Linked DNA regions of Caenorhabditis elegans. The protein of the gene in region 1 interacts with the protein of each later gene in a pairwise test. Each region holds a gene or a part of one and is shown in the gene's direction. Other genes may lie near its edges.

Region 1 (8,339 bases):
AAAAAAAAAATAAATCGAAAGCTGAAAATCTGCCATGCCAGCACTCCCTTCCAAGTTCCAAAAACGGACAATTTTTTGAACCAATTTAAAAAAAGCGTTACATATTCATGCCATCACTTCTCTTTTTTTTCATTCGCATCTTCTCCATCTTGATCCAGAGAGGGGCAAGTCGATGCCGTTTCGTGTTTGTTGTATTGCCAATTGATCCTAATCGCATTGATGCAATAGTCTGGCATTGCTTCTTCTTCTTTCGGCAAAACCTTTTCATTTAGTCCGGTTCCACACGGGCCTCCTTTTTTGCCCTTTTTGCTTTAATTTTTCACTTTTTATAATGCGTGTGTGTGTGTATATCTTTTCGCTTGCCCCTCTAATACTCACTTTTGCGCATCACCATCTTTTCACTCATTACAGTGGATTTCTGAAAGAAATGGAAACGCATGTTACACTCACACCTTTCGCTAGCGTCTTCATCTCTGAATCCTTTCGTTTTCGGTCACTCAGCAAACATGTTACCTCTCTCTCTTTCTTTCTCTGTCTTTTTCTGTTCCATTTGTTACGCAATCGGAATAGAAAAGCAGTTCCAAACTGCCCGTTCTTACCCGCCCTTCCAAGTTTTCTCTCAATCATTTCCCCTTCGATTGCCTAATCTTCCAGTTTGGCTTCTTCATTTTCCCTTAACAATTTAGAATCACATTTTTCTGAGCTTCATCTAATATTTAAATTTGTGCCAAGCGTTCCTACATTGCAAATCAATTGTGTCTTTTTAGGCTCTAGCTTCAAATTTGAGCTCAGGAACAGCTGATCCATAGTTTTTAGTTTGGATCAAAACCTTCAAAACTTGTGTCTTATAAGGCGTAGGTTTGAGGTAGGCAAAAATATAGTTTTCACTTGATTTGGAGAAACTGAAAATTCTCAAAAATGTTCGTCGAATTTTATTCCGACAATTTTCAACTTACCGACAATTTTGGTGCATGTTTTCAATCTGGATTCAGTTGTTTTAAATATTTAAAATACAAGTTAATGTCTGACAAAGCAAATATAGTTATATGTATTTTTTTTTCAATTTTAATGACAAATATTGGGAGAAAATGCCACGCTAGCTCATTTTTTAGAATTTTTGGACACAAAAACATCAAAAAATTTTTGTAGAGACAATGCATATTTTACACGACCACAGCCACAGTACCCGCAAGTATTCTGATATGTATTTTGAACAATTATTCGATATTTTATGTGTTTGCAAAATTTTCCAAAAAATTGAAGCTTCTGAGTTTTAAATAGTGTCAAAAACAGGCAAGACAATTTCGAATCACTTGTAGGTGCGGTAACTGCAAATTTCAAGTTGTTTCGTAATCCGTACCAGGGGTGGGCAGCAAACGATCCGGCAAATCGGCAAACCGGCAAATTGCCGAAATTGGAAATTTCCGGCAAACCGGCAAATTGACGATTTGCAGAATTTGCCAAAAATTTTTTGCCCTTTTTTTTTTGGAAATTTCAGAACTTCAATTTCAGACAGCCGAATTAAGCACATCCTATGAATATTCCTACATTTATTTCAATAAGTAAGCAAATTCTGTTAAAATAACTAGAAAAAACGGGAAAAATTCAAAATGGCACAGTTTTAAGTGTTTACGTCCTGTAAATAATCCCTCTAGACATTTCCGGCAAATCTGATATCCGGCAAACGGCAAATCGGCAATTTGCCGAAAATGAAAATTTCCGGTAAATCGGCAAACCGGCAATTTGCCGATTTGTCGAATTTGTCGACAAATCAATTTGCCGAACCGCAATTGCCGCCCAGCCCTGATTCTATCGCATTTATTTTTGTGTCAAAAAGCAGAAAACTCCGCAACTGGGTAATTTTATATTTTATAGGGCTCCTAAACATCTTAAAGTTCTTTCAACTGGGGTTTTTGTAGGGAGCATCGCAGAATTTTGAAAATACTGGATTTTAAAATCATGTTTCTCCCTGTTCTATTACTTTTAACTGATATACCCCCTGATCCAATGATCTCCAATCAACTGATCGCAATCACATGCCCCCTCCGAACTAGCGGACACATGAATAAAAATCAGCTGTTAAGTCCATGTCGAACCCCTCGTATCTTGTGTAATAGACTGCTCACAATTCTTTTTTGTTCTTATCACCATCACATGAATTGTCATTTCTCGAGACCGGTTCTTCGCTTCTCTGCGTCTCTCGATCTCTCGCCTTATTTTCAGACCGTGTTTTTTACTTTCAAATTTCAGTTCATTTCAACTTCCCCTCTAAGTACATAACCTCTTCAAATATCAAATATTTTGTGTGTCATAGTTATGTTTAATCTTCTCTCATTTTCACTGTTCTCTCATTCTCGTTTATCCGCAACTGACCCTGAAATTTTTGTGCCCGCCGTGTTTTTCACGAATTTCACAGTTTTCAGGGGTATTGGCTGACCGCGACACATTCATCCCGTTTTTCAGATTTTTTACATATTTAATCAAGTCAGGGAAGGCGCACGATGAGCAAGGTGAAAGGGTGAGATTTTTGACGATACTTTTAGAATTTTCGAGGCTAAAATACAAATTTCCGGCAAATCGGCAAACCGGCGAATTGCTGAATTTGCCGAATTTGCCGGAAAAACGGCTTTGAAAGCTTTTTGGAAATTTTAGAATTTAAATTTTAATCGGCAAAATACTACGACTATTTTAAAAAGTAAGCAAATTCTATGAAAATATCTAAAGAAAATCGCGGAAATAATAAACATTTCTGCCGGAAATGAAAAATTCCGGCAAATCGGCAATTGTCGAAAATTTCCGGCAAATTGTGGTTTTGCACGGTTTTTTTGTTGGAAATTTCGGAATTTCAATTTTAATAGACAAAATTGCACGCATCAAAAAATCAAGGTTTTAAGTGTTTTCGTCTTATAAAAAAATCCCTTTAAACATTTTCGGCAAATCTGATATCCGGCAAGCGACAAACCGGCAAATTACCGGAATTGAAAATCTCCGTCAAAAAAAATGTGCCGACAAAAAAATTGCCGAACGGCAATTGGCCGCCTCTGTACATATATATCGACTAATTATTAAAGAAATATGAAAACATAAGAAATAGATGAAGAATTTGTCTAGTTAATAGGTAGGGAAGTAGGCACGTAGGTTTTTTGTGCCTACATGCCTATATGCATAGTGCATAGGGACAGAAAATCTGAAGTTCTAAAAAAATGCTTAAAAACTTGATTAAAAAGTGTATGATTTTGTGCCTACACAGAAAATTTGACTTTGTTTTTTTTTGTTTAATTCCAAACGCGTAAAGCTTTCAAAAATATTTGTTCTGAATATTATCCTTGCTGAAAACACTTTAAAATATATATTAAAGCTTCCTTAAAAGTTTAGTTGAAACCTCCATTTATTAAAAAAAAGTTTTAAAAAAGTTCATAACTTATTCAGTTGGTGTTCCATTGTGACATGGCTATATATTCTTGTCAAGAATATGTATATCTAATTAATAATTTTATTACCACAAAAAATTCCCTTCAAAAGTGTAAGCTGGAGCAATTTGAAAATGTGCAATTTTTAGAAATTTTTAATTTTAAAAGTCAAAGCAAAATTTTAAATAAAATTTTCATAATTGATATTAAATCAGTTTTTGTGCAATTTGTTAAAAGGTTTAATTGAAATTATTGATGCACTATATTTTACGTGTCACATTTTTTACAGCTAAAGCTGTAATTTTGAAAAAGCTTGATAAGTCTAACTAGTGAGATTAAGTGCACTATTTGTGAACAGAAGAGATAAATAAATATCCTGTTCGTTATCACTCGAACGGTTTTATCAGCCGAGATATAGTGGACAGAACAGTGACAACGCCAAAAACTGGCAATAATGATACTTCCTCCCCTCCCCATCCCAACTTTTTTGGATTATTTCATACCCACAACTTATTTATTTTCCAGAGATCTCGAAAAGTCTGACAAGCGTCCACCATCGTCCATGTCAACTGGTTCAGCTGACAGTGGTGTATTCTCATCGGGAGTTCATGCTTCATCACCTAGTCATAGTCAAGGATCATCATCGCAGAGTGGGCCACCGAGTCCTACTACTCAGTTGAACTCGTTGCTTTTTGAAACTGCTAACCTGATTGCGGTGAATGAGCAATTGAGAAAGGAAATTGCAGAGTTAGTTTTATTTTGTTGCTTGGCTCCAGTTTCTTGCGCAAGTTTTGCCCGAAAAAATTAACTTGGAATTTCGGCAATTGCCGGTTTTGGAAATTTTCGGCATTTGGCAATTCTGTGCAATTGCCGGTTTTAGAAATTATCGGCAATATTGGCAATTTCTGCATTTGCCAGTTTTAGAAATTCTCGGCAATCGGAAACTGCAGGTTTTGGATATTTTCGGCAATTGGCAATTTTGACAATAGCCGGTTCAAAAATTACATTACTTTGAGCTTGAAAAAAAAAAAGTTCATTAAAGTGCATGTTTAAGGTCCGGCAGTTCTGATTTCCGAAAACCGGCAATTCTGACGATTGCCGGTTTCGGGAGTTTTCTGCAATCGGCAAATTTGGCAGTTGCCGAAATTGCCGAAAGCAGAATTGGGCCAAATTTCGGTTAAACTTTGGGCCTAAATGTCTTGCCCAACTGTTGCCCAAGTTAACTTTTTTGTGCCAAATTTGGGCAAGAAGCTATGTTTGAAACCTAAACACCAAACACTGTTTTTCAGAAACAAGCAAATCCAGACGAACCAGATGCGAGCACTCAGATACTCCTCAAATCCAGTCGATCAGCCATTTGTAGCGAATTCGATATCACCACATCACGGGTTTCCACAGTGAGTTTTAATTATTCAAATTGTTAAACCAAAAGAAATTCAAAATCTTTTTGATTTGGAAAAAATGTGAAAAAACCAAATCAAAAACCATTGAAAAAATTCAAAGATAACGTACCAAGTTTCAACGCATGTATCTAAACTATTTTTTGTGATATCAAAAAGTTTTTAACTGCACTAATGTAGCTGATAATGTGATAAATATTTTTGTAGTTGAAAATGCTTTCATAGCGCTTAAAATAACTAAGATGTAAGGTGTCAAAGTAGTGGAAAATTTCCACAAAAAAAAACCATTTTTAGAGTTTCTCCTAATAATTACATTTTCCAGACGCCCCCCTCGCGGCGAACGGCGGATGCAAAAGCCCGAATCTTACAAGACGGTCATTTGTCAGGCATGGCTCGAGTCGAAAACATGCACTTTTGCTGAAAATTGCCGATTTGCACATGGAGAGGAAGAGCTGCGCCCGGCGAAGTGAGTTTTCAAAATTTTTGCGCATAACTTTTGGCGCAGGGGTGGACAATTTGCCGATTTGCCGGAAATTTCAATTCCGGCAATTTGCCGATTTTCGGAAAAATTCAATTCCGGAATTTTATCGATTTGCCGGAATTTCTATTCCGGCAATTTGCCGATTTGCCGGAAATTTCAATTCCGGCAGTTTACCGATTTGCCGGAAATTTCAACTCCTGCAATTTGCCGCTTTGCCTGAAATTTGACGCGCAAAAACCCTGAATATTTTCAGACTGGAATCACGACAAAACAACAAGTACAAGACGAAACTTTGTGACAAGTACACTACCACTGGACTATGCCCCTATGGCAAACGGTGTCTTTTTATTCATCCCGATAATCAGCCAAATGCATATATCAGAGCTGATAAGCTTTATGAGGTTAGTGATGGAGAGGTGGCCTAGAAAATTCAAGTCGGCTATCTTTTGAAACTAAAATGTATTATCTAGACTAGAAATTTTGGATTTTTTGCCCAAAATTGCGGTACCCGGTCTCGACACGACAATTTTTACTAGATTTTGAAACTACACTATTCTTTAAAGGCGCACACCTTATTGTATATTTGCTTCACCAACAAAAATATTTCGCGTCGAGACCAAGTACCGTACCTATGCCGCAAAAATCGCAAATTCCTGTAATTATTCAAAAACTCCAATTTTCAGGTCTCGCAGCGCCACGCACTCGCAGATTTACGGGATCACGTGGAATCACAGATTATGACAGGAAATACGAGAAACTCGTATAATCAACAGCCGCCACCGATGGGCGGTCTAGAAATGCAATCTTCACCGATGAAATCGAGTTCTGACTCCAGTCATATGCGTTCTCCAATGGCTCAGATGAATTGTGAAAGTGAGTTTTTTAAAATAATTTTTTAGAAAAAAAACAAGTTTCAATAAATTCCTTGAAATTTTTTTTTCAGCCACGCGTCCTCACCCTAGCTGGCCGTTGGAATCTTCGTCCTTTTTCTTGCCACCCGAAATGTCTTCAATCAATAATAATAATTTGATGAGCCCATTTGAGACGCCATTTCCCAACGGCTCCACGGGAATTCAACCACATTTTGTGACAGGTTAGATTTATGGGATATTACGGGAACACAAAATTCTGAGAATGCGTATTGCGCAACATATTTGACGCGCAAAGTATCTCGTAGCGAAAACTACAGTAATTCTCTAAATGACTACTGCAGCGCTTGTGTCGATTTACAGGGCACAGTCTCCTCCAGTGGAAATTTTGGTTTGTTGGCGCACTTCTCGTGCATCGCGTGCAAAATTGAGAAATTTCCGAAAACGTTCAATTTACTGTTTTTCTTCATATTTTTCATAACATAAGCTTTGGTGGAAGATTACTTTTCAAATGAACATCAAATTCCACTAGAAAAATGATGAAAAATATACGAAATATGAGAAAAACTCAATTTTTAGCGGTTTTTTCTTTTTATATCAGCGCTTTTATTTTTGAACCAAAATCAAAAATCTTTTTTTTTCCACCTTGCCCTTAATTAGCTTTACAATTGATACGTAATTAAAAAGTTTGAAATCGATTTTAAACCCGTGAAAACTGAAGGAAATCACTTTTCAACGGTAAAATTTTCCCACGCTCACGAGAAACGCGCAAGCCCCCTTGTTGGGTCATTTCCAGGAGGCTGTGCAGGGCTCTAGATTTTTGAAAAGAAATTCATTTCGAAAATCGAGCGCTACAGTAGTCATTTAAAGGATTACTGTAGTTTTCGCTGCGAGATATTTTGCGCGTCAAATATGTTGTGCAATACGCATTCTCCGAATTCTGTGTTCCCGTAATAAATTATTCCCCCATTTTTGTGTGAAATTTGTAATTTTTCTTGAAAAAACTTGTGAGCTTGAATTTCTCAAACTTGCGCGTCAAATACGAGGTACTAGGTGCAGTGAACCACAGAATCCGAATACTGTGCAAACACCGACACAAAGCGTCATATTTCACTCGCAAATTTGAAAGATCAATAATGGTTTTTTTTTTCGTGGAAAAAACACAAATTTCAATTTAAAATTAAAAAATTCCGAATTTTCAGCAAAACGGAGAGCAGCCTTTCCTCCAGTGCCTTCCAATTTCCAACAAGACGATGATAATATGTCATCAATTCCAGGATTCGACCATCTTGCAGAGGATATGGCTAAACATCTTGAATTGTGGTGACATTTTTCAGTTTTTTTTTAATTTGAAATTTGTTTGTCTTCCTTGTCTGTGAGTATTGTTCAACGATTAGTTACTAATAATATTTGAGTAGCAAGTGGTCCTAAATCCTTTTTTTTAAAGATTTTTAAATTTATAATAAAAATGGGACCACCTGATACACATCTCACTAATATTTTTTTCGCTTCTTTTTTTGAAAATTTTTTATCTCCTAATATTAATTATTTTTATTGCTCCCCCTAAATAAAGTTTTAATTTTATTTCACACAAGGGATAATACACGTTGCAAAAAGCGCAAAATCCTAAGCTTCTTTCTCTAAAAATTTTGGATGAGGTTGGTTCTTTTCTTTTTTTTTGGGAGGGAGAAACGGAATAAAACCGGAATATGGAGCAAAAAAGAGACGGGAAAAACGAAATTGATGCATACTGACTACGAAAATCAAAAAGAAAAGGCATCTAGAAAGTCGTGTGAACAATTCTGAAACAGGCAAATGTACAATTGAACGGGGACTTTTTGCAAAAAAAAAATTTGAAGGAATAAGTGAGTATTTTCGATCGAGATGCTCCGCACAGCTGCTCACTTTCCGATCCGTTGGCGGACCTTGTTGTACTTGTCCGTGAGCCGGTCCACTCCTGACGCGAATCGTCGATAGCCATTTTGCATGTGAGCAGCAATCGCCAAGACTACGTAATAGGTCTGTTGAGTCAACTTCACTCCGTAGAGAATCACGTCTTTTGTCACGTTGTAGAGCAGAACCTGAATAAAAACTGTTTTGTTTTTGAATTCAAAAATTTATCCAGAAATTTGTGCGAATTTAAGGTTTTGAAGAAATAGTATTATTTAGGGCTATAAAT
Region 2 (8,582 bases), 710 kb from region 1:
AAAAACCGGAATTATTGAAATTTTCAGGGTTTTTTTTTCCAATTTTCACGAAAAATGCTCACTGGCTCTGGATATTTGACATATCTTGTTCCTGTTTTTGAAAAAAAAATGGGTCTCGTAGTCCGTGAATTTTGAATTGATTTTTTGCACAGATTTTGGGTAATTTCGCTGAAAAATGTGTATTTTATGGGTTTTTGGGCAGTTTTTTCCATAATTTTTCACTATTTTTAGGTAAAAATTCGGAATTTCTGATTTTCAGCCAGTTTTTTTTTCATTATTTTCTCCGATTTTCTAATAAAAAAGCGAATTTTTCGCTGAAAAATGCGAATTTTAGTCCAATTTTCTGATAAAAATCCGAAAATTCGCAGATTTTTCGGGTAATTTCGCCCTAAAACTTAAGTTTTTCATAATTTTCCCCGATTTTCTGATAAAACTCCGAATTTTTTCCCTTAAAAAAGTGGATTTTCGTATTTTTAGGCAGTTTTTTTCATAATTTTTTGAAAAAAAGAGGAATTTCTCGTATTTTGGCTAAAAAAATGACGAATTTTTTTTGATTTTCCTGAAATTTCATTGATTTTTTTTGAATTTCTCGTCGGATTTTCCACAGGTTTTTTAAATTTTTTAAAGGATTTTTCAGTTGATTTTCTGAGATTTTTTCACTAAATTGAGAATTTTCGTTCGATTTCCTGGAAATTTTTTTGACATTTTTCAAATTATTTACTGATTTTCTTGCCTCTTATTACGGGTTTTCACCGATTTTTAGCGAAAAAATCTACCGATTTTATCGATTTCGTATCTCTCGGATTTTCTTGAATTTTTGCAGCGATTTTTAGTATTTTCGGTGAAAAAAATGTGGATTTTCTAAATTTTGCGATTTTTTTTTAATTTTCGGATTTTTAGGCTGTTTTTTTTTGTTTTTTTTTTCTAATTAATTTATCCAATTTTCAGCTGGAACTCGATCGTTATGTGCCTCCGCGTGCTCGTACCGATGGCTCTCCTCGCCTGGTACTTTACCAACGAACATCCGAACGCGCTCCGTTGGAAGAATCCGGCAATGCCGAAGCAGTATTCATACGATTTCTACCGTGCCTACCCGTTCGACGATCCACGCAAATACCCAATTGTCAACTATTCGTTTGATTTGGAATAGAAAATTCCTTAGTTTCGGTTGTTTTTTTTTTGGTAGTTTTCTCCGTTTTCTCCTTTTTTGTACTATAAAATATTCGAATTTTATCATTTTTTTTTTTGCCTTTTTTTTGCCCTTTTTTCAGCGTTTTTAACGCTTTTATACCTATTAATTCGTTTTTTTTGTTGCTTAAAATTGCGCCTAATTGAAAAAAAAATTCCTAAATTTTATATGATTTTTTGAAAATTGAAAAAGTCTCAGTTTTCACCCCTAATTCCTATTTGAATTACCGCTAATTGGATTTGTTCGATGGAGCGCGCTTGCACGTTTTTAAGTTTATTTATTTTATTTTTTGTTATTTTCCACCGATTTTCAATTTTTTTTAGTTTTCGGTGTATTTTTACATGAATTTTAGAGAAAAAGTCAAAATAAATGCTAAATTTCGATTAAAAAGCACGCTTACAGGCGTAAAAATGACAAAATTAATTAATTTCACTGATTTCGGTCTGTACGCATGGTTTTTATTCGAAAATTTGCATTTATTTCGACTTTTTCTCTAAAATTCAAGCAAAAATACACCGAAAACATTAAAAATCGGTGGAAAATAACAAAAAATAAATAAATTTAGAAACGTGCAAGCGCGGCGCTCCAACGAACGAGTTCAATTGGCGGAAATTCAAATAGGAATTAGGGGTAAAAACTGAGATTTTTTCAATTTTCAAAAAATCATATAAAATTTAGAAATTTTTTTTTGAATTTGGCGTGTTTTAAAGCAATTTTCCCACTGGCGCTACGCTACTCCACTTTTAATTAATTAATTATTTGGAAAAAAAATTCAGAACTCGGCGCTGGACGCCCCCGCACAAAATGCTCTTCCTCGATGATTTTTTAGAAAGTAAGTGGTTTTTTTTGTTGCAAACTTTTCCCCTATAAAAACACCCAAATTTTCAACGTTTTCCAGTGCTCGATGAGCTGCCTGCCGAGCTGAAGGAGAGAAGCGATGAAATTCGGCGAATCGACAATGAAGTTGAATGTAAAATTTCGAAATTTTTCTGAATTTTTCCCTTCATTTTTTCGAATTTTTAGCCCGTCTAAACCGTAATCGAGAGGCGATCAACGATTTTTTCGAGAGAACCGGCGTAAATATGCCCGAGGAGCAGAGAAAGGAGCGCTGCAAGGTTTTGCAGGAGGTGAATTTCATGAAAATTCCTGGAACTCGAATTTGGCAGCAAATTGACACGAAAACGCAGGAAAAAGTTGATTTTTGCCACAAAAACGGCTAAAATTCGTGAAAAATGAGAAATTTCGCTATAAAACCCGTTTTTCTAGCTTTTTCGTGAAGAAAAATGAGAAAAAATGGGATTTTTTTGTACTTTGCCTGATGTCATTTTTTCACTTTTTAAGCTTTTTTTTCCCACAAAACACCAAAAGTGCTCAAAAATACTCAAAGTGAATGACGTCTAAAAACACTAAAATGAGGTCGAAAAACTCAAAAAGTTGCTCAAGATCCGACCAAGTTGTAACCTTTTCGGAAAAAAACCTAAAATTAGAATTTTGTCGTTTTTGATCGTTTTTTGAAGCTTTTTCTTCACAAAAATAGCTTAAAAACGCAAAAATTAGCCCAAAACGCTTATAAATCTCAAAATGCATCCAATTTTTCAAAATTTTCCGCTAAAAATAAAGGAAATACCGAAATTTTCAAAAAATGAGCATTTTTCCGCGAAAAAATCCCAAAATTCCGCTAATTTTTCAGAATTTCTCGGAAAAAAACGGTCGAAAAAATTCCTTTTTTCACTGAAAATCTTTTTTAAAAAACAGGACAAAAAATCGCAAAATTCAGACAATTTTTCGGAATTTCTTGTTAAAAAGTGAAAAAAAAGCTGAAAATTTAGCTTTTTTCACGAAAAAAAATTGAAAATTCAACTAATTTTTGGGAAAAAACATTTACATTTGCATTTTCTAATTTTTTTTTCGTGGTTTTCTAAAAAAAACTTTCAAAATCTCAAAATACAACCAATTTTGCCGAAATTCTTGGAAAAAAACCCTAAATTTGCATTTTCTATTAATTTTAAAAGCTTTCTCCCCCAAAACTACCTTATAATCCCAAAAAATCAGCCAATTTTTCTAATTTCTCTTTAAAAAAAAAGCTGAAAAATTAGCTTTTAAAAAAAAAAAAAGCTTAAAAATCCCAAAATGCCAATTTTCCAGATTTTCTCGCGTTGAAAGTGAAGGAAATGCCGAAATTATAAAAAAAAATTAGCTGTTTTCACAACAAAAAAAAAGTCGAAACCCCCGAAAAATCATAAAATCAACCAATTTTTCAGAATTTCTCTTTAAAAAGTAAAAAAAAGCTCAAAAATTTGCTTTTTTTTTTCAATAAAAATTTTAGAATTCAACCATTTTTTCAAAATTTCTCGTTAAAACGTTGAATAAGCTCAAAAAAAAGTTTTTATCACAAAAATAGCTGAAAAATGGCAAAATTTCTCTTAAAAAATGAAAAAAAAAGTTCAAAAATTTGCTTTTTCACAAAAAAAAAATTGAAAAAACCCAAAAAATTGCAACCAATTTTCTTCAGGAATTCTCCACAATCCGCGTGCTAGCTCAACGCAAATATCTAATCGCCGAAAAAATGCAAGAACTCCTCAAAAAGTACAAAGTTCACTTGGAAAAGGAGAAAACCACGTTCCAGTGTGAAATGGAGGCCGACAATTCAGGAGTGACCGAAATGATCGAAAAACGATATACCCAACACGTCGAATCTCTGCTCACAGCGAGAAAAGAACGAAAACGTCGTCATCGCGTGGGCGGTGGTGGTGGTGGTGGAGGATCGTCGTCGAGAGCATCGACAGTCGCTTCGGGACCACTTTTATCGAAAGAATCAAAGGACAAAATTCAGCGGATCCTTCAGGAAGGTGTTCGTCTTCGAATGGATCTTTCCGATGAGTCGGCACAATCGGCACTATCATCGGCTATACCATCACCAGCGCCACGTGGGCGCCCGCCAAAGATCGCAAAGGATCAGCTGTTGCTGTCGTCGGCGGCGATGGTGGTGGCCAGTGATGATTGTCTGACGCCAGTGCCACCAACACCGACGGCTAGGGTGAGGAGCTAGCTGAAAATTCGAGAAAATTCGCAAAATTTGGAGCCCACCTACCACGGCCTCCTGTTCAAAGAACTGGCGAAATTTCGAATTTTAGCTAAATTTTGAATTTTCAAATAATATTTTTCAAACATTTTTGAATTTCAGCCTAAAATCCGCAAAATTTGATCGTACAAAAACCTCACAAAATTGATAAAATTTTCCCGTTTTTTGGGTGTTGTTACAAGAAAAATTTGACGAAATTTCGAGTTTTAGCGTAATTCGTCTCTTTTCAACTATTTTTTTAGCCTAACCGCCACATTTTTTAATAAAATTTACGAAAATTGGCCGTTTTTGGGTCATTTTGGACCGTTTTCAGCTAAAAATTAACTTTTTGTTTCGAATTTTCAAAATTAAACGAAATTTGGCTCTTTACTGACTAATTTTTAAGCCAAACCGCCATGATTTTCTGGAAAATCAGCCTATTTACAGGAGGACTAACGGTTTATTGACCCAAATTTTGTGCTCAAATGAACGAATTTCGTAATGAAACTGCTCGAAAATGTATTTATGGCGGTTCAAAATTTCGAAAATGACACTGATTTTAGCTAAAATCTCGAATTTTGGTCATTTTTCCGTGTCACAGCTGTAGGAAGTTGGTTTTTTTTGGAATTATCATCCTTCATTGCATATTTTGGTAGTTTATCTCATTTAATTTCATTGATTATGGTAAATTTAAAGCCAATAGGTAACCAAAAATCATTAAAATTGGTCGCCTATAGGCTTTAAACAGACCTTAATAAACGAAATTAAATGAGATATTAAAACCAATATATGCAATCAAGAATGATATTTCCAAAAAAAGCCAACTTCGGACAGCCGAGACACGGAAAAATGACCAAAATTCGAGATTTTAACTCAAATCAGTGTAAGTTTTCGAAATTTTGAAGCGCCATAAAACATTTTTGAAGAATTTTTGAGCAATTTCAGTATGAAATTCGTTCATTTGAGCACAAAATTTGGGTCTATACGTTCCAAATCGTCCGAACCGTTAAATAGGCTGATTTTTCAGCCTAACCGCCATTATTTTCACGAAAATCAGTCGTTTTTGGAGTGAAAAAACTAAAAATTCTCTAATTTCTCCAAATTTCAGCGCCGCTCAAACACAAATGCTCTCCGCGGCACAGTCTCCATTCCAAGTGCTCTTTCATCAATGATGAATCGTGGTGAATCGACATCCCGCTTCTCACCGAATCCCTCCGAACGTAGTTGGTCAAACGCCGGAATCGACGAATCATCACCGACGCCGACGACAAGCCTACTGATGACACCGACGTTCTCCTCAGGACCGCATATCGTCGTTTCGCCGACGACTCCAGTTCTCCAGAATTCGGCGTTTGTGGTGTCTGAGAGCCGTCATGGTAGAACTCGGAAGCTGACCAGTAGAGTTCAGGAGATGTTTAAGGAGACTCTACAGCGGCAGCGGAATCATGGAAATTCAATTATAGCACTACAGGAGAGAATGAGTGCGGCGAATCTGGCGGCGGCGGCTCAGCACGCTCACGCTCCGACGAGCTCTTCACCACAATCACCACTTCCGGAGATTGAAGGAGCCGCCGAGGATGATGATGAGGAAGGACCGAGTTATCGGATTAAGCGGAGCCATCCGATGATGGCTCCGGGATCGGAGGATGAGGAGGATGAGATGCATTGGTGTTTTTGTAATGAGAAGAGCTATGGAGATATGGTTCAGTGTGATAATCGTCATGTTAGTGTGGGCTTTTTTAATGAAGGGAAAAATTGAATTTTTCTCCGAAAATTGAGCGAAAAATTCAAATTCCCAGCAGAAATAGTGCGAAAAAAAAATTAGATTTTTTTTTGTTGTTTTTTATTACCAAAAATTGATTAAAAAATGTGAATTTTCATCAGAAATAATGCAGAAAATTACTGTTTTTTTTTCTTCGAATAGTGCGAAAAATTGAGTTTCCATCCATTCAAAAAATCAAAAAATTTGGATTTTCACACGAGAAAACAGTGCGAAAAATATATAATTTCTACCTGAAAATTGCAAAATCATGTTGCTATATTTGCGGTGAAAATTCACTTTTTTGGTTAGTCAAAGATTATCAAAGATCTTATTAAAAAAAAAAAAAAAAATTTCCATTCAAAAAATCGAAAATTGAGCGAAAAATTCAAATTTCCAGCACAAAATCAATAATTCGTAATTTTTGATGAAAATTCATATTTTTTCATGGAAAATTGTACAAAAAATTCAAATTTCCACCAAAAATTGAGTTTAAAAAGTGAAATCAGAAATAATGCACCGAAAATTAAATTTTTGTTTCAAAAATAGTACGAAAAAAGTTAATTTTTAACCGAAAATTATTTTTTTTTTAATTTGAATTTCTACCACAACAAAATGCTTAAAAATTGTTAAATAGAGTGTTTCCTTGGAAAAAATCACAAAAATGAAGTTTTCACCAAAAAATTGCGAAAAATATATAATAATTTCTACCAGAAAATGCAAAATTTTGCTTTTTTTTACATTTTTATCGAAAAATTTCACGAACATTCAGAAAAATTGAATTTTCACCAAAAAATTGGAAAAAGTTGCAATTTATATTATTTTTAGGCTAAAATCAACAAAATTTCTGCGTTTTCAACGGTTTTACCAAAAAATGTGTTACAAAAATTCGAAATAGTTGAGCGAAAAAATTAATTTCCACCTAAAAATTGCAAAACTTTGCTATATTTTTGGTGAAAATTCGATTTTTTGTTGGTATTATTATCAAAAAATTTTACAAAAAAAATAGAATTTTCATTTTAAAAAAATCCCGAAAAATTAAAATTTCATCAGAAAAATATTTTTAAAAATTGATTTTCCACAAAAACATGCTCTTGAATTACAAAAGCAACTGAAATAATACGAAAAATTTAGATTTCGAAAATTAAATTGAATTTCCACTGTAAGTATTTCAAAAATTAGAAAAATTAAATGGAAACAAACACAAAAAAACATAAAACACGAAAACATGATTTTTAAAAAATTGTTTAAAATAATTACAATGTGGAAATTTCATTTTTCGCACTGTTTTCGGTGAAAACTCAGTTTTTTTCCACAAATATTACAAATTACATCCATCCATCTGAAATTTACACCAAAAACCTTTAAAACAAAATACAGAAAGTCTGAAAATTTCAACAAAAAATTCTAATATCTAAATTTAAAAAACATTTCTACCAAAAATCTGATAAACTGAATTTTCATCGAGACCATCACCACCAAAAAACTAATTTTTGACCAAATTGAGTGCGAAAAATCGAATTTCCATCAAAAATATTATAAAACATTTTGTTTTCTTCGAAAAGTAATGCAAAAAAGTAAATTTCCGCCACACAAATATATTTAAAAAAAGTTGAATTTTCATCAAAAACTACAAAAAATAGAATTTGCCTGGAAAATTCTAATTTTTTCGAAGAAAACAAAATGTTTTATAATATTCTTGATGGAAATTCGATTTTTCGCACTCAATTTGGTCAAAAATTAGTTTTTTGGTGATGGTCTCGATGAAAATTCAGTTTATAAGATTTTTGGTTGAAATGTAAATTTTTTATAGCACTTTTGTAGCTATATGTTTTTTAAATTTAGATTAGAATTTTTTGTTGAAATTTTGGAAAAAATTATGGGAAAATGGTAGATTTGTTTGTTTGTTTTTTTTTGTTGGAAAATAAAAAAAGTAATAAAAACCACAAAAATATCAGTAAGTTTCAACCTAGATTAAAAAAATAGCTACAAAAATTTGGAAATTAGTAAAGTTGCTAGAATTTTTTAAATTTCTAATTAATCCCATTTCATTTGCAGTGCACCCTCCGCTGGTTCCATTACCCGTGCATTGGAATGGTCGAGCCTCCGACTGGAAAATGGTACTGTCCGCGGTGTGAAGTTACGATGGGAATTGCTCTCAAGCTGTCCGAAGAGGGAGAAGTCTAATATAAATATTATGACTCCCCATCAACGATAATTTAATAATAATAATAATAATGATTGGCCTGAAATTTTCCCAATTTTTTTAAAACATTTTTATCTGAAATTTTCCCCAAAGACTCTGATGCTCTCTCACATTTTTTTTAAAAATATTTTTAAATACCCCAAAAAAACAATTGTAAAAATTCCAATTAATTTTATTTTGCACACTATTTTATATATTCCCCCCCATGTTATGATGTCCCATGATTCTCAAATTTCTCCTGCATTATTCTCTTGTACAATATACCCTAAAAAGTTTTAATAAGGATGAACTCGATAATTTTTAAGATTTTTTTTTTTGGATTTTTTTTTTGAAATTGCATGCCACTTGTTTTTTTACTCTGATTTGT
Region 3 (6,213 bases), on another chromosome or scaffold:
GTTGAGTGCCGCGTCGCGGATTGGTTTTTGTTGTAAAACTGAATTTTTTTTTGTCCCTTTAGAGTACTCGACTTTTACACGCGTCATCTCCGGCAGGCGATTGTCAATGGAGCGCGAAAAATGCAACCAAGAAGGTCAGAATTACGATTGTGTTGGGAGTTATTTTGTATATTGTATCGTTTTCAAGATAAGCTGACTAATGAGGTCCTATTATATGTAATAGATTATCATATCTAGAAACAAGATAATTCTGGAAAAGATTTTTGATTATTCTTAGATAGTCTTGTTTTTTATGTACTTATCTGCGAAAACTAGAAATATTTTTAACGACTATTATACTAAAGTTATTATATATATTTTTTAAGGGATTCTTAGAATTCACCTATTTTCATAATACAAATTATAGAGGATATAAAAAATACCTATATAATAGATTGTAGTTATTGTATTTTCTCACTTCCGTTGTCTCAAAAAATGGAACCTCTTCTAATTATCCTTTTCGTTATTTATTGTACAGTTTTTGTAATTGGGACTACTGGAAATTTGATTATGGTCCTGGTGACATATTATTGCAAGTAAGTACATCAACAATTTAAATTTAAAAAAAACAAATTTCAGAAATCTCCGGTCAATTTGCAACGTCCTTATTGGTTTGTGTTGCTTTTACGATCTATTACTTGCTGTTCAATTTTAAAAACCAGATTCCAAAAATCGAATGAAAATTGTTTACGACTCATCTTGCACTTTTAAACACGCAAAAATGTAGAGTGTCAGACAAAAAGATACATTGCCACTAAATTTGTATGTCTATGTAAATATATATGTGTATATATAAATATATTTCAGAACATATGTACATACTTGTTTACTCACATCTGAATTCTCTTCGAGATCTTCTAATATTTTTATTAGTTTTTTTTGTCAAAACTCAAAATCCTGACGGTTACAATTTTTACAAAGAATTAGGTTGCTGGAGTTGCCTCAGTTAAAACCATACTGCGAGTTTTACCAGTCGAACACACCTTTCCATTATCTCAATATATCAAACATTAATCAATCATAAAACTGATATGGTCCCGCCGCAGTTGAAAAAAAGGAGACCGCCCGTCCAAACAATATTCTCAAGTACGTTTACATACCTAGTCGGCACTTTTAACAGTAATCACTGCTTCCTCCTCTTCCGCACCCACTTACTGGATTGTTCGCACCCGTAAAATCATAACTTCCCGACTGTAGCAAGGCGAGGCGGTAGGGAAGAGGGTACTAAAATTGGAGGTGGGAGGGGGGGGACGTTTGGATAAACACAGCATTGGGGTATCATTTTAGAGTACTGTAAGTGATACTGTTTGTGGATATGTATAGTTTTTTTTTTCAATCTAGCGTCTACATTTCCCTTCTGTTTTTAGTCCCGCACGTCATTTTCAGATTTAAAACCAAATCTTGGTTGTGACTTGACTGTCCGCAAATCCGGCAAATAGGCAAAATGCCGGTTTGCCTATTTGTCGGAATTTTCATTTTCGGCAAGTTGCCGGTTTGCCAATTTGATGGATATCAGATTTGCCAAAAATGTTTAGAGGGATTTTTTTTATAAGACGGAAACACTTAAAACTGTGCCTTTTTGAATTTTTTTCCGTTTTTTTTTTTGAAATTTTCATAGAATTTTCATAGAAATAGAATTTCTGATTTGCCGGCAATTTGCCCATTTGCCGGAAAAATCGTTTGCCACCCACCCGTGATGTACTGTACTATTGATCAAAACCGGCATAACTTTGGAGCACTACAAAGCCTTGTGTTCTTTCTATAAAATTTCTGAACTTTGAAAACAAAATTATTTATCACATGTCCTTTTCCCAAAAAACTCCCTTCCTTCTTCTATTAATGACACCCATCTCCCCTCCACACATTTTCCGCGCACACACCTTTCTGCCACCCCTTTCTCAGAGAAACAACAAACCTCCCCGTTTTTTGGTTACTGTTTGCCCATGCCTATCAGTTTTGACATGCTATCATAAAATGGCACTTGCAGGGCATATGTGCGCCTTCTTGGATAATTTTCTTCTAGCTTGACCATCGTCTTCTTGACATGTTTATTTTTTTTCGAAATGCCCAAAAGTGTCGTAATCTTTAGATCAAACATATCATGACCACCATCTACACATGCTCAAGTTTTCTGTATTTTCTATTCTTGGGGGGAAAGAAAAGTTTGCTCAAGTTTTCTGTTTGTTATCATAGGAGTGACCGGTCTGGTGTCACCACACCCCTTTTTTGGAGCCTGGGGAGCTCACTTTTTTGTAGACCAGAAGAGGTGTGTATATTCGCTTAGGATGTTTATTTTTGTGGAAACATTAGTCATTTTTCTTTAGTTTCACGATAGATGCTCTACTAATGAAGGCACGTATTGTAATCTAGCATTAACATTGTTTTGTTCTTTGTGGTGAGTACATAGGTATTTTGTTTTTAGTGAGTTAGTTCCTACGTGTTCAGTGCATTGAGAGTTAGAGCCTTATAGTTAGTAGTTAGTTCCCAGAATTTCGAACTTGAAAGTTCTTAAAAATGGAGCAGCGCCATTGGGGAAAATGCTAAAAACAACTCCTATGGTGTCAAAAATGACCGAATATCAAAATAAAACTTTCAAAAAAATTTTGAAATTTTTCTATTTACTGTCAAAAACTGACAAGTGCTCATTCTTTGCCACTCATAATTTTAGAAGTCGGAAAAAAATTTCTTGCATTTTTTATATTTTCATTTTGTTTTAATTATTTGTTTTAAAAAATTATAGGGGTCGGAACATGCGACACTGCATTGAATTTCCTCAAAGGCTCATATTTTTCAATATTTTGGCAATGTGCCAAAACTTTGACCTGGAATTATGAGAAACCTAAAATTTTTAGGAGTGTTGCATCATGATATTTTGTCGCTTTGGTTTAATATAAGTGAGACAAAATTCTCACAGGCGCTACTCCACCTTTAACTTTCTTATCTCTTGAATATTTCGGTTTGAGTGTGAATTCTCTAAATATCAAAAAGATCCAAAAATTTTGCTACTAATTCCCCCTATTTGTATATACACTTGTGATATGACGTAAAAACATATTCACAAGAACTACAACTTTCGCTTTGAAAATTCACAACAAATATCGAAAAGTAAGCAGTAGGCAAAGAAGAACGCAAGACTTTTATGACTTGAAATGTATTGAACGAGAATGAAGACGTCACATTTGTGCGTGTGTGTATGCACAACGGTATTACATGGTGTTGTTGTAGTGTTGGAATATTTGTACTATCTACTAGTAGAAGTTGCCTTACTTTGGCTTATGGTTAAGATTTTCACTACAAATTTAGAACTATGCATACAATTAGGTTCAGGCATTACATCTTTTTTTAACCACAAAATGAATTAGTATTTGCCTATGCTAATTTTTATTTGACCTTCTGTTACAATGTAATTTTTGAAAATTCGTTTCAGAGTCTCACTCTTTTTTGGTGATTTTCAATTTATCGTTATTCATCTACAACTCCTTCCAGATGTACTCTAGCATAGTCCCGTCTAGTTCAAATGGTTACTATCATCAGTCTCAATACCAAAATGCCCATCACCAACATCATCAGCAGCATTATCACCAACAATCTCATCATCATTATAATGGAGCAGCTGCGGCTCCAGTCATCAATGTTCACAACTATCATTTTCATACGGGACCTGTTAATAATCAGGTTTTGTATTTAATTGAAGTTTTTAAATTCAATTTTCTATTTTTTGAGGTCATCGAGCAGCACTACAATCATCATAACCATGTCCAACAAACTTTCGAAGAAAATATTCCACAAGGCCCGCACAGTTCTTTCAATTTTTCCCATGACTTTCCACAACAGAATAATTCCGAAACTCACCTCAATCACATGGAACCTTCGATGACTCCAATGGAACATCAAAACTCGGGAAGCTCGACACCATATCCGTTTGAAGCCAAGTTATTCGTTCCATCGCCTGCAGCGTCTGTATCCAGTTACTCATTTTCAAGCGATTTGTCGGGTAAAGACGAGGAAGATCCCAGGATTCCTTTAAAAGATCGTGGAAGAGTATATCATCCGCAGAGCACTGAAAAACCAAAAAAGGTGCCGAGTAAACGGAGGGATAAGGCTACTTTGGATCGATTAAGAGTTCATAAGTGTTTTTATCAAGGTAAGTTGCAAGCGTGTTTAGCTTAAGCTTGAATTTCATTTTCAGGTTGCGGCAAGGTCTACACAAAAAGTTCCCATCTAACAGCTCATGAGCGTGTTCATAGTGGTGAGTAGCTTACAGAACCTCATTATACATAATTAATCATATCCTCCTCTTCAATGTCGTGAACAGCGCGCACTCGTCGGCACATTGTTCTGTGTAACGGGATACTTCCGTTGACAAACACGCTTCTCATCAATCACTAGATACTTTTTGTAACGAATGCACAGGAATCAACTACTGTTGCTATGTTATGTTAGTCCATATCAATATTTGGCCTTGTCCGGTACTTCGCGGCATCCCCCTTTTAGAAGTATCGAATAAGGAGTTGTAAAGTATCAATAAACTGTCAATTAAGTGCGTGGGCCTATGGATATAAGAATTAGGAGGGTTGCGGGAAAATTGGAAAATAATAACTTACCCAATTCCTAATGCTTCGGAAAGTGTGGAAAATGCGAAAGTTGCTTGCAGGAAGAACGCCTGAAATATCTATTATATTTTGGTTTATCTGGTGATTGACGAAACTCAGAGTCGCGATTTGATCTGACACTGAGATCGTCAGCTAAGCTTTTTAAAATGTTTTTTTGCTGCGAAAATCTAAAAATTTATAAATTTGCAACTGCTTCTTGGGAAATTAGCTTGCTTTTTATTTCTAAAACGGTAAGATGTAAAGTTTTCAACTTTTATGTTAGTTGAGCACTTTTTTTTAATTTTGAGGTTTGAGAAACGGATAGCCAAAGTCAGTTTTATACAGATCCGGTCGTAAATTTTCAACAACTTTTGATATCCGCAGCAGAAATTAAGATTTTTCAAGCTGAAAATCTCAGCTTTCAAATGATGTTAGTTTCACACCAAATGGCCACTTGGAGTTTTGAACATTCCCTAGTCAGCAGCTTGCCAAAGTATTACCTATTCGATAATAATCTTCTCATTTAGGTGAAAAGCCGTATCCATGTGAATGGCCTGGATGCTCTTGGCGATTTGCACGATCCGACGAGCTAACCCGCCATTACCGTAAGCACACTGGAGCCAAACCGTTTGCATGCAAAGAATGCTCCAGGAAATTTTCGAGAAGTGATCATTTGCAGTTACATATGAAGCGGCATGAAACGGATGAACAAGACGATGGAATGGATGATTTCAAGGATTTCATGACTTTTATTTGAAGATTTCGTTTCATTATGAGTGAGATGATACGTTTAATTATGAATAAACAGTAGATTGAATCCTTTCACATATTAAGAACAATGTAGTTCTTTGGCAAATTATTGAGTGGCGTAGTTCCAATTTTTGTGACAATCCGGCAGAAAGGGCATTTGATGTACCCTTGCCCGACAATTTTTTGAACACATCCCATGCACATCGTGTGACCACAGCCTGAAAATTTTCAGTTTTCTACTGAATTTAGAAAAAAATAATTTAAAACTAACCCAAAACTCGCGGAGTCTGATCCATAGTTTCTCCCTCAAACTTGCAAGCACAAATTTCGCAGGTTCTCCATGGGAACGGTTCTCCTCGTTGCTCTTCCTGACTCTTCACATGAAATTCTGTCAATTGGTTCACTCTCCTTCGATACCCGTCTGTGACTCCCTGCTCTTTTTTCACTTGTTCTTCGACGCGAGACATATCGTCTCTGAATCGCAATTTGAAGGAAAAGTCGTTAAGTTGCTCCTTCAAACTCATGTTTTCTCGCAGTAATCGTGCCATGTGTGATTCTTGAATAGTGAATTCTGTATTGACTTTCAGGGTAACCCTTGACAGTTCTTCATGATCTTTCTTCAACTTTTCCACTTCACTCTTCAACTTTTCATTCTCCGCGGTTAATCTCAATTTGACCTTGTTGGCTTCTTCCTCTGCTCTCAACTGTGCACCATTCTTTCTTTGGTCCGCGTGCCTCGAGCTACGTCGCAACATGGAAATTCTGAAAAAAAGTATGATTAGTTAAATGAGTAAATGAGAGAGTGGGAGAGTATATTTGAATAAATTAAAGG
Region 4 (7,377 bases), on another chromosome or scaffold:
AATATTAATATAGTACCCATTATTACGAGTATTCAGGTGAACCCTCTTTCCATTTGACCTCCAAAAATTGCGGGAGTAGAAAACAGTAAGTCCCCACAATTTTAGAGGGGGTCTACCTCTATGATCTTACTGTACTCGACCATCATATCGTTCTTCCTAGATTTCTGATTTTCTGCCTCAAGTTTGTTATGATTCCATATGTTGTTATGTTTCTTTTTATCTTTTAGCTTTCTTTGTCTTCCCCCCGATAAATTATTTTATCTCTTATCTCACTCACTGTCTGGCTCGCGCCTACCGTATCATCGGAAACGAGCGTTTACGTTTGCCCCTTCGCTAGACAAGGTCTCGAAACGAAACGAGACGCGAACTGCAAACTTTTCTCCGTCTGTTTCTCCGTTGCGTCCAAATCTTCTTAAATCACTCTCTCCCTCTCTCACTCCACTCACAGCTGTTTGTGACCCCAACCAACAAAACTGGGGGCCGCGCCATCAGGTGTTTTCCCCATCCATCCATCTGTCTCTAATTCTCAGGATCCCTTCAGAAAATGTTTCTTGGATCGGTTGATGGGGAAGATCGCAACAAAATCCCTTAACCTTTATTTTGAATGATAACAGATCATTACCGTCCGAATAGTTCTCGATGTCGTTTTGTTCAGTGTCTTTCTCTTTTACTACGCCTTTGAACTGATCTCTTTGCCGATTTTGGTGATGTTTTGTGATCTTATAAGAACTATAGTGAGTATGACTATGAAAAATTGTTCCCAACCTTTAACGCGGTTTCAACTAAATCTTGACCAAGTTTTTCCGAAGTTTTGCCAAAACTATGGACGAACTTTATATGTATGTTATACACAAAAATTTAGGCAGGAAATTGCCTCCAAAAATTGAGAAATCTTCCTCTGAAATCTCCAATATTTTCACGATTAGACTCTATTAACCTATGTTCTATTAAGTATTTCATAAATCTACTACCAAATGTTTTCTAACTTTAGATACTTTGCGTGTTGCTCTATGTGCCCAGCTGTTCTCCCATAAATGCCAAACTTGACCAACTAGATCATCCCGTACACTTGCACACTACAGCTGATCAAACTTTTGTTTCTTTTTTAGTTTTATGATTATTATGTGAGAAGTAACTAACTTTTCGTAATTACCAAGAATTCTTAAACTAACTGGTCAACTGCTTTTTGTTGACTTGTCAATGGGTTCCAGGGAGCCCTCATTGTAAAAAACATATGGTAAGTGCAATTGGCTATCGTCTATAAGCTCAAGGAAGTTGGAACCAATTTTTTGTTGATATTTTTTTCTGTTTTGTCTTCTCCATTCCGTTTGAGAATCAGTTTGTGTGTTCATCGCTCTCTCGTTTCTCCGATAAATCGCTAATCAACATTTTTTCTCGGTTTTTTAAGAAAGTAGAAAGATCAAAACATCAAGAGCTCATATTTCATTTCTTGGGGTGAAATCTTGAAATCTAGCCTTAAATTCTTTTTTTTTTCTTTCTTTTTTTTTTTTTAAGACCGATTTATTCTTGGTTCTTCATATTTTATCAAGAGAGAATCTGAGCAAGTCCGTTTGTAACTTTTGAAAGACGTTTTGTGATTCTGCAAATTTATAGAGAACTGATTGTTATTAAAACATGGACTCTGTCGGCTTCACGAGATAAGCTCATCGTCAGTTAAAAATAATTTCATTACAAGAAACTTTCGGTTTCTAATTCCAATTTTGGCAATGTTCTGATGTTTCGATTACTCCCAAACTCTGATCATTCAAATTAGTATCATGAAACATTTTAAGTAAAAGTTGTTGCATTAAACACCTGAAAATGGATCACCTGTTCTTTCCCTCTCATTTTTTCAATTATAAACCCTTCAGTTTTTCTATTTTCTATACATTTAAAACCTATTTCATCTGCTACACTGAAACTGCCCTCTTCCTCACGCCTTTTTCATTTAATTTACATATACATTGGTACCTACCGTATGAAATAGACGAACTGCCCGATTTTGAATTATAAGTCGGTGTGTTTCGACCCTCGATTGCTTCCTCTTTCCCCTCATGTGTCTGTGTAAAACATGCCATATGACACACTGACAAACTCTTTTTTTTTTCGATCTTTCCCCTTCAAGAATTTTCGTGAAGCATCAGCTGTTGGTTTTTTGTCGCAAATAATTCCAATTTTGTAAAGTTTCAGGTAATCCAGACGGCTCCCATCGTCCCTTCGTAGTCTCCGTAGTACTAACAGTAAGTATTTATTTCTTATTTCAAATAATTCGTGGTATAATCATTGTTATCTTTGCCCCCAAGTGTTGCTTATCACAAAGATTTTCAGCTGGGAAAAGAGCCTATCTTCTTTGATTCTACAAAGAAAATGGCATGTCAGCCAGTCAGCCAACATAGTGGGGGAAAGGTGATAAGAGTTACGGGTTTCGGGAAACTTTTGTCGGAAAAAGAGAGAATAAGGAACAAATAGAATTTCAATTCGAGAACCTCAAAAATCAAAAAAGAAAATTTTTTTCAGGTAGATCAATAGTAGAAAATGGTTCGTTCGGATAGCGCAGAAGAAGATCAAATCATCATTGATGATGGGTAAGGATTTTTGTACTACATTTTTTGCTCATGGTTTTAAGAAGAAACATTCGAAAAGTAATGTATTGACATAAGTCTAAGCCGAGTTTTGCTTATAATCATAATATGGTTGAATTCCCGCCTTCTAGGCGACTAGGCAGGCGGTCTGAAGACGTGCCTGCCTACTATATATATATATATATCCAGGATCAGACTCTCATTTGATGAAAGTATTAAAATCTGAAAATAATTCGAAAATAAACTTTTTTTGCTCCCTCTAAACCTATCAAGTTTCCAAGTGAAGTGTTAAGTCTACAGTAACTTTTCAATAAATAAAATTCAAATAATTTCCCATGGCTTTCAATTCGTTCTCAGTGACACGCAACAAGAACACCTGGCTTTTAGAGAAAAACACAATATAGAGACGCAGATGAACTTTTCCTCAATTCTAAAACTGCATGTGGCAATTTGTACTAATAATTTCTCATAATTTTTGGAACAGAAATATTGAGATGTTAAATTGAAGCTAATTTATCCCATTTTCTTTCTTTTTTTTTGTGGAATCGTGGCATTTATTGAATTGATAGGTTCTAATTGTAGATGAAAAGATCAATATAAAAATCAGAACAACTAAAGCTAGAGTTATTTTAATATTAGTTCAAATGTTACCCATTGTCGGCAAAGTTCAAATTTAAGGTCTAAAATGTGTTTTATCACTTTTGGAATTTTTTTTTAAAATGCATTTATAATAATTTAAAACGACTTTGTGAATTTCCAATTTTTAAAAAATATGTTTTTTCTCTATCCTCAAAGGAGTACTGTACTGTAGTTGTAGAATAGAAAAATATGAAGATATTCACGAAAAAGCTTGCGTCTTGAGAAGGCATTAATTGGAAAGTTGAAGTTAATTGGCCCCAAATTATTTGATAAATTTCGCTTCTTGAACAACCTCATCTACGAACACATTTTTGCAGATTTGATCTAACTGAAGAGGACGAGGAGATGATGAGTTCGGGTACAGGTGCATTGCCCGTGACTATCGCCGACTGGAATTCCGTGACAAATGCACGAATGGCACCACCATCCATCATGTCAGCTGCTTCGGCATTTGATTTGACGGCTTCTGGAATGCAGAATTCGTTGCGTTCTGTCTTGCCTACCTCGACGATTGGGCATGCACCAATGCTCGCCAACCGGTCACTATCCCAACCGGCGCCACTTTCACCAACGTCGCTCGACCCCGACAGAAGGTTAGTTTTATAGCACTGAAAGGTGGTGAGTACTGTAACTTTATATAGTATAGATCCAGAATGCGTCGGCAAATTGCCAATTGCAACGAGCGGCGGCGGATGCAGAGCATCAATGCGGGATTCTTGGCTCTAAGAGCCTTACTTCCCAGAAAAGAGGGAGAAAAGCTGTCGAAGGCGGCTATTCTGCAGCAAACTGCGGATATGGTTCATCAACTTTTGGGACACAAAGGAGAAGATATACCTGACGGTGGAGAACCCAAAAAACTCAAACTTGAAGGTAAGTTTATATCTTATTGATATTTTTGAAAAGTGGAGTAGGATGAATGGAAACTGTGTTTCAACAAAAATCTGGATAATCTGAAATTCTGAAATTCCACAAAATAATTCCAGCCTAGAATGGCCTGAAGAAGTCTAAATCTTACTGAATCGTGCCTACCCTAAATCAGTTCAAACTTGAAATTAATATAAGCTGTTCAAATTAAATTTTGTTTCAGAAGATCACCACGACGCTGACCATCAAGCGCAAATAGCACATCTCCAAACAATATTAGAAACTGAACGAGCCGCCCGTAAGGCTTTGGAGAGTCAAGTAATTCAGCTCCGTGAGCTGCTCCAAATGACGACAACATCATCGCAAGCATCGTCACCAGTGACACCAAGATCTAATGGTTCTGGTGGTTTCACATTGCCATCTTCATATGCTTCATCGGCTCTTCCTACTCCGTTACGAGAATCACCGGAAAGGAAACCATCATTTCAAGATACAACAAGTACTCCGTTGTCTCTTTTGACACTGAACGGTAGTCCAACTTCTTCTGAATCATTGGCGTCTCAACGTATATTCCATCCGCCTCCAACATTGCCAAGTTTAGAGACAACTGTTATCCGTCCTACACCACTACCACCAATATCAGGTAATTTTTGGAAAGATATATTCAAAATTAGTTTCAAAAAGATTGAATGTCCAAACAAAACACTATGAAACGTTTGAGATGTTTCAAAATTTCCAGGCAATATTTTGGTAAATTACCAAATTTTTTTTTTGGAAAATTTGGTCTTTTGGGAAATTTAGAGTATTAAGGCCTAATGCATGGTAGCATTTTTTGAAGCCCTGGAATATTCAAATAAAACTTTTTGACTATAAATATATATAAACATTTAAGTTGAAATATCATCACCATCTCTGTCAACTCCATCACCTTTGACTGCCGCTCCAATAATCTTCTCAACAGCAGTTCCAACTCAATCGAGTATTTTGTTCCAAACAGCGGCGGCAGCGGTCACCTCGGCCATGTCTACCGGTAACTCGACACCCGTCGCATTGCCACATCATCTGCAGGGACATAATTCTGCGTTTGTGTGAGTTCTGTATATTTTATGGGGGAAAAATTATGAATTCAGTTTTCTGTTTTGAGAGAAGAAGGCTGTATGTGGAATGATCTACTTTCAAAATTCAATTTCTGAATTCAAATCTTCGTTATAAATTTAATTTTTAAATTTATTTTATGCTGATTATTAAATTTCAATTAAATCTTTTTTATAATATACTCTATACAGTCAAAAAAAATGTTGTGGTTACTGTAGGTTGCAATATTGCTATTATGAGGTCGTAGAAAAATCCCCCTTGTAAAATCGAGGACCGCCCCCAACAGCTGGGTCTCGTTAGGTATTGGGGGGCCAAACCAGTAATTCAAACTTTTTCTATTAGTTTCGCCAATGTTTGAACATTTTGCGTCTTTCTGGGTACGTATGCCAAATTGATTTTAAAAAAACTTTCCAATAAAAACAACCATTTTTCCAATAAAAACAACGAAAGACGAAAAACGACGAAAAACTCCTGAAAATTGGTACAATTATTTAATGACAAACGTTTGAATTCACGGATTTGCCGCCAAATACCTAACGAGACCCAGCTATGGAGGGCGGAGATTTTCTACGTCTGCATAATAGTTCTCGAGCAAACTTTTCGAATTTTTAAAAAAATTAATATGTTGCCATCAATTCCAGAAGCACACAACCGAGCCTGACCCTGTCTCAATCAATGCAAACAATTGTTGAAGCTATTCGTCATTTGGAGGGAAGTCATTTCATTCCAACATCTCCTCCACCAACCTCACAGACATCGCTCGTCCGTTGAGCCTGACTTTTGACAAATGTAGAGTTACAATTACAAATACAATTATCAAATTTTCCACGTTTCATAATCTCTCTCTCTTTCTCTTTTTCTCTCTTTCTTTCTTCAGGTTGATCCTGTTTTTTGCTCTTCATCTTTTTTCTCTCTCTCACCAGGCACAGTATCTATCATTTTTATCACAAAATTTGATGAATTTTTGTTCTTTTCCCATTTTTCTTCTTGTTTTAGGTATACTACTTGTTGTGTTTCTATGAAATGTTTTTTTCCAAAATTTTTTGTGCCGATTGTGGTCTTCTTGTCATTTTTCTTCTAATCAATCTAGCTTCCTTATTTCCCGCGCTCTCACGGACCTATCCATTGTTTCGTTCTCCCCACCGATAACTTTTTGTTTTTTCATTTTCCTTTTTTTCCAGTCTTGTTCATCTCCAGACACTGCCCCGTTACTTTTACACAAATCGTGTCGATTTCCTCTTTTTTTCATTTTTCACCCGGTGGTTTTGTTGACCGTATGTGCAGCTTGAAACACTTTCATTTTCAGACCTCAATATGTCTCTCTATTGCTATCGCGCAATAATCATAACTAAATAATTTAAATAAACCTCAATAGTACAACCACTGAGACAAGAGTACCAATATTTATGTGAAAATTATGATGATGATGAGGAGCACATGATATAAATAATACAATAAACACAGCATATGATAATCGACAGAGATCCGTTTTAAGAAGTGAATGAGAATCCCGCGAGAATAAATAATAATAAATCTAAAGCCCTCTTGTCAGATAGTCCTTTTGTACGACCGCCTTGTACTCGTCCAGCAAGTCTTGCACAATGTGCATTGCATCGTCCATCATATCCAGCGAGAAATTGTCAATCTTTTCAAACTTGTCGATGAAGGCTCTCTTTGATCGTAGTTTGTCGTATTTGGAGAGAAGCGATTCGAATAACGGAGCCACGCTTGTGCTGTTATTGAGCAAGAGTCCAGATACTTTGTATTGTGGCCGAACATATGGAGAGAGTGGAGCATGCATCATTCGAAGTGGTTTAAGCATGTAGAATGGAGGCCTTCTGATTGCGAACTGAAATTTGATTTTATTGATTTGATGCTTTAAGGTGGATTATAGAAAAATAACGAAAAAAAGTCATTATTAATCACTAATTTTGTCTTTAAAATAGTGATTTTATTGGTGCATTTTTGATTTTCTGACTAATGTGTTATTTGAATTGCCACGCTTTTGTCAAATTTCCAAGTTTCTAAAAATTTTTTACTTCATGTCAAAAATACTTTTTAAAAAAGTTTGCTTCACAATTGCTGATTCGTCAAAATAAGCGCTCATTTTTGCAATGTAATTTGAAGATTTTTTTCGTTTGCAGTATCTCGGTATTTGTGACCGCCTTCGTGTTTTGAGAATAAAATCTACATCTCC

What was found.
Region 2: the proteins of moe-3 (region 1) and ing-3 interact in a two-hybrid assay, tested with the Caenorhabditis elegans proteins (one large-scale study listed by BioGRID).
Region 3: the proteins of moe-3 (region 1) and klf-2 interact in a two-hybrid assay, tested with the Caenorhabditis elegans proteins (one large-scale study listed by BioGRID).
Region 4: the proteins of moe-3 (region 1) and hlh-11 interact in a two-hybrid assay, tested with the Caenorhabditis elegans proteins (one large-scale study listed by BioGRID).

What each region holds. Positions count from the first base shown.
Region 1 is NC_003280.10:13,159,818-13,168,156, reverse strand, and holds moe-3 (CCCH-type zinc finger protein moe-3), read left to right. Parts: upstream 1-2,423; 5' UTR 2,424-2,501; coding exon 2,502-2,518; intron 2,519-3,935; coding exon 3,936-4,157; intron 4,158-4,699; coding exon 4,700-4,807; intron 4,808-5,132; coding exon 5,133-5,276; intron 5,277-5,544; coding exon 5,545-5,692; intron 5,693-5,974; coding exon 5,975-6,164; intron 6,165-6,234; coding exon 6,235-6,384; intron 6,385-7,362; coding exon 7,363-7,487; 3' UTR 7,488-7,742; downstream 7,743-8,339. Other genes in the region: F32A11.1 (Mitochondrial import inner membrane translocase subunit Tim21), read right to left, coding at 8,062-8,241. UniProt on the Caenorhabditis elegans protein: Zinc-finger protein that may play a role in oocyte maturation and fertility.
Region 2 is NC_003280.10:13,874,069-13,882,650, forward strand, and holds ing-3 (Inhibitor of growth protein), read left to right. Parts: upstream 1-1,965; 5' UTR 1,966-1,993; coding exon 1,994-2,021; intron 2,022-2,087; coding exon 2,088-2,159; intron 2,160-2,212; coding exon 2,213-2,316; intron 2,317-3,701; coding exon 3,702-4,226; intron 4,227-5,358; coding exon 5,359-5,973; intron 5,974-8,067; coding exon 8,068-8,196; 3' UTR 8,197-8,517; downstream 8,518-8,582. Other genes in the region: ndub-8 (NADH dehydrogenase [ubiquinone] 1 beta subcomplex subunit 8, mitochondrial), read left to right, coding at 949-1,150.
Region 3 is NC_003283.11:20,683,383-20,689,595, forward strand, and holds klf-2 (Kruppel-like factor 2), read left to right. Parts: upstream 1-2,300; 5' UTR 2,301-2,316; intron 2,317-2,347; 5' UTR 2,348-2,434; intron 2,435-3,525; coding exon 3,526-3,714; intron 3,715-3,762; coding exon 3,763-4,183; intron 4,184-4,228; coding exon 4,229-4,288; intron 4,289-5,158; coding exon 5,159-5,388; 3' UTR 5,389-5,448; downstream 5,449-6,213. Other genes in the region: F53F8.3 (RING-type domain-containing protein), read right to left, coding at 5,454-5,599, 5,653-6,136. UniProt on the Caenorhabditis elegans protein: Probable transcription factor which regulates lipid metabolism.
Region 4 is NC_003281.10:9,619,963-9,627,339, forward strand, and holds hlh-11 (Helix-loop-helix protein 11), read left to right. Parts: upstream 1-2,184; 5' UTR 2,185-2,240; intron 2,241-2,305; exon of another isoform or gene 2,306-2,448; intron 2,449-2,517; 5' UTR 2,518-2,535; coding exon 2,536-2,585; intron 2,586-3,538; coding exon 3,539-3,814; intron 3,815-3,862; coding exon of another isoform or gene 3,863-3,867; coding exon 3,868-4,091; intron 4,092-4,308; coding exon 4,309-4,728; intron 4,729-4,977; coding exon 4,978-5,173; intron 5,174-5,362; exon of another isoform or gene 5,363-5,511; intron 5,512-5,821; coding exon 5,822-5,951; 3' UTR 5,952-6,566; downstream 6,567-7,377. Other genes in the region: tbg-1 (Tubulin gamma chain), read right to left, coding at 6,715-7,029. UniProt on the Caenorhabditis elegans protein: Transcriptional regulator. Component of a feedback loop involving atfs-1, atgl-1 and hlh-11.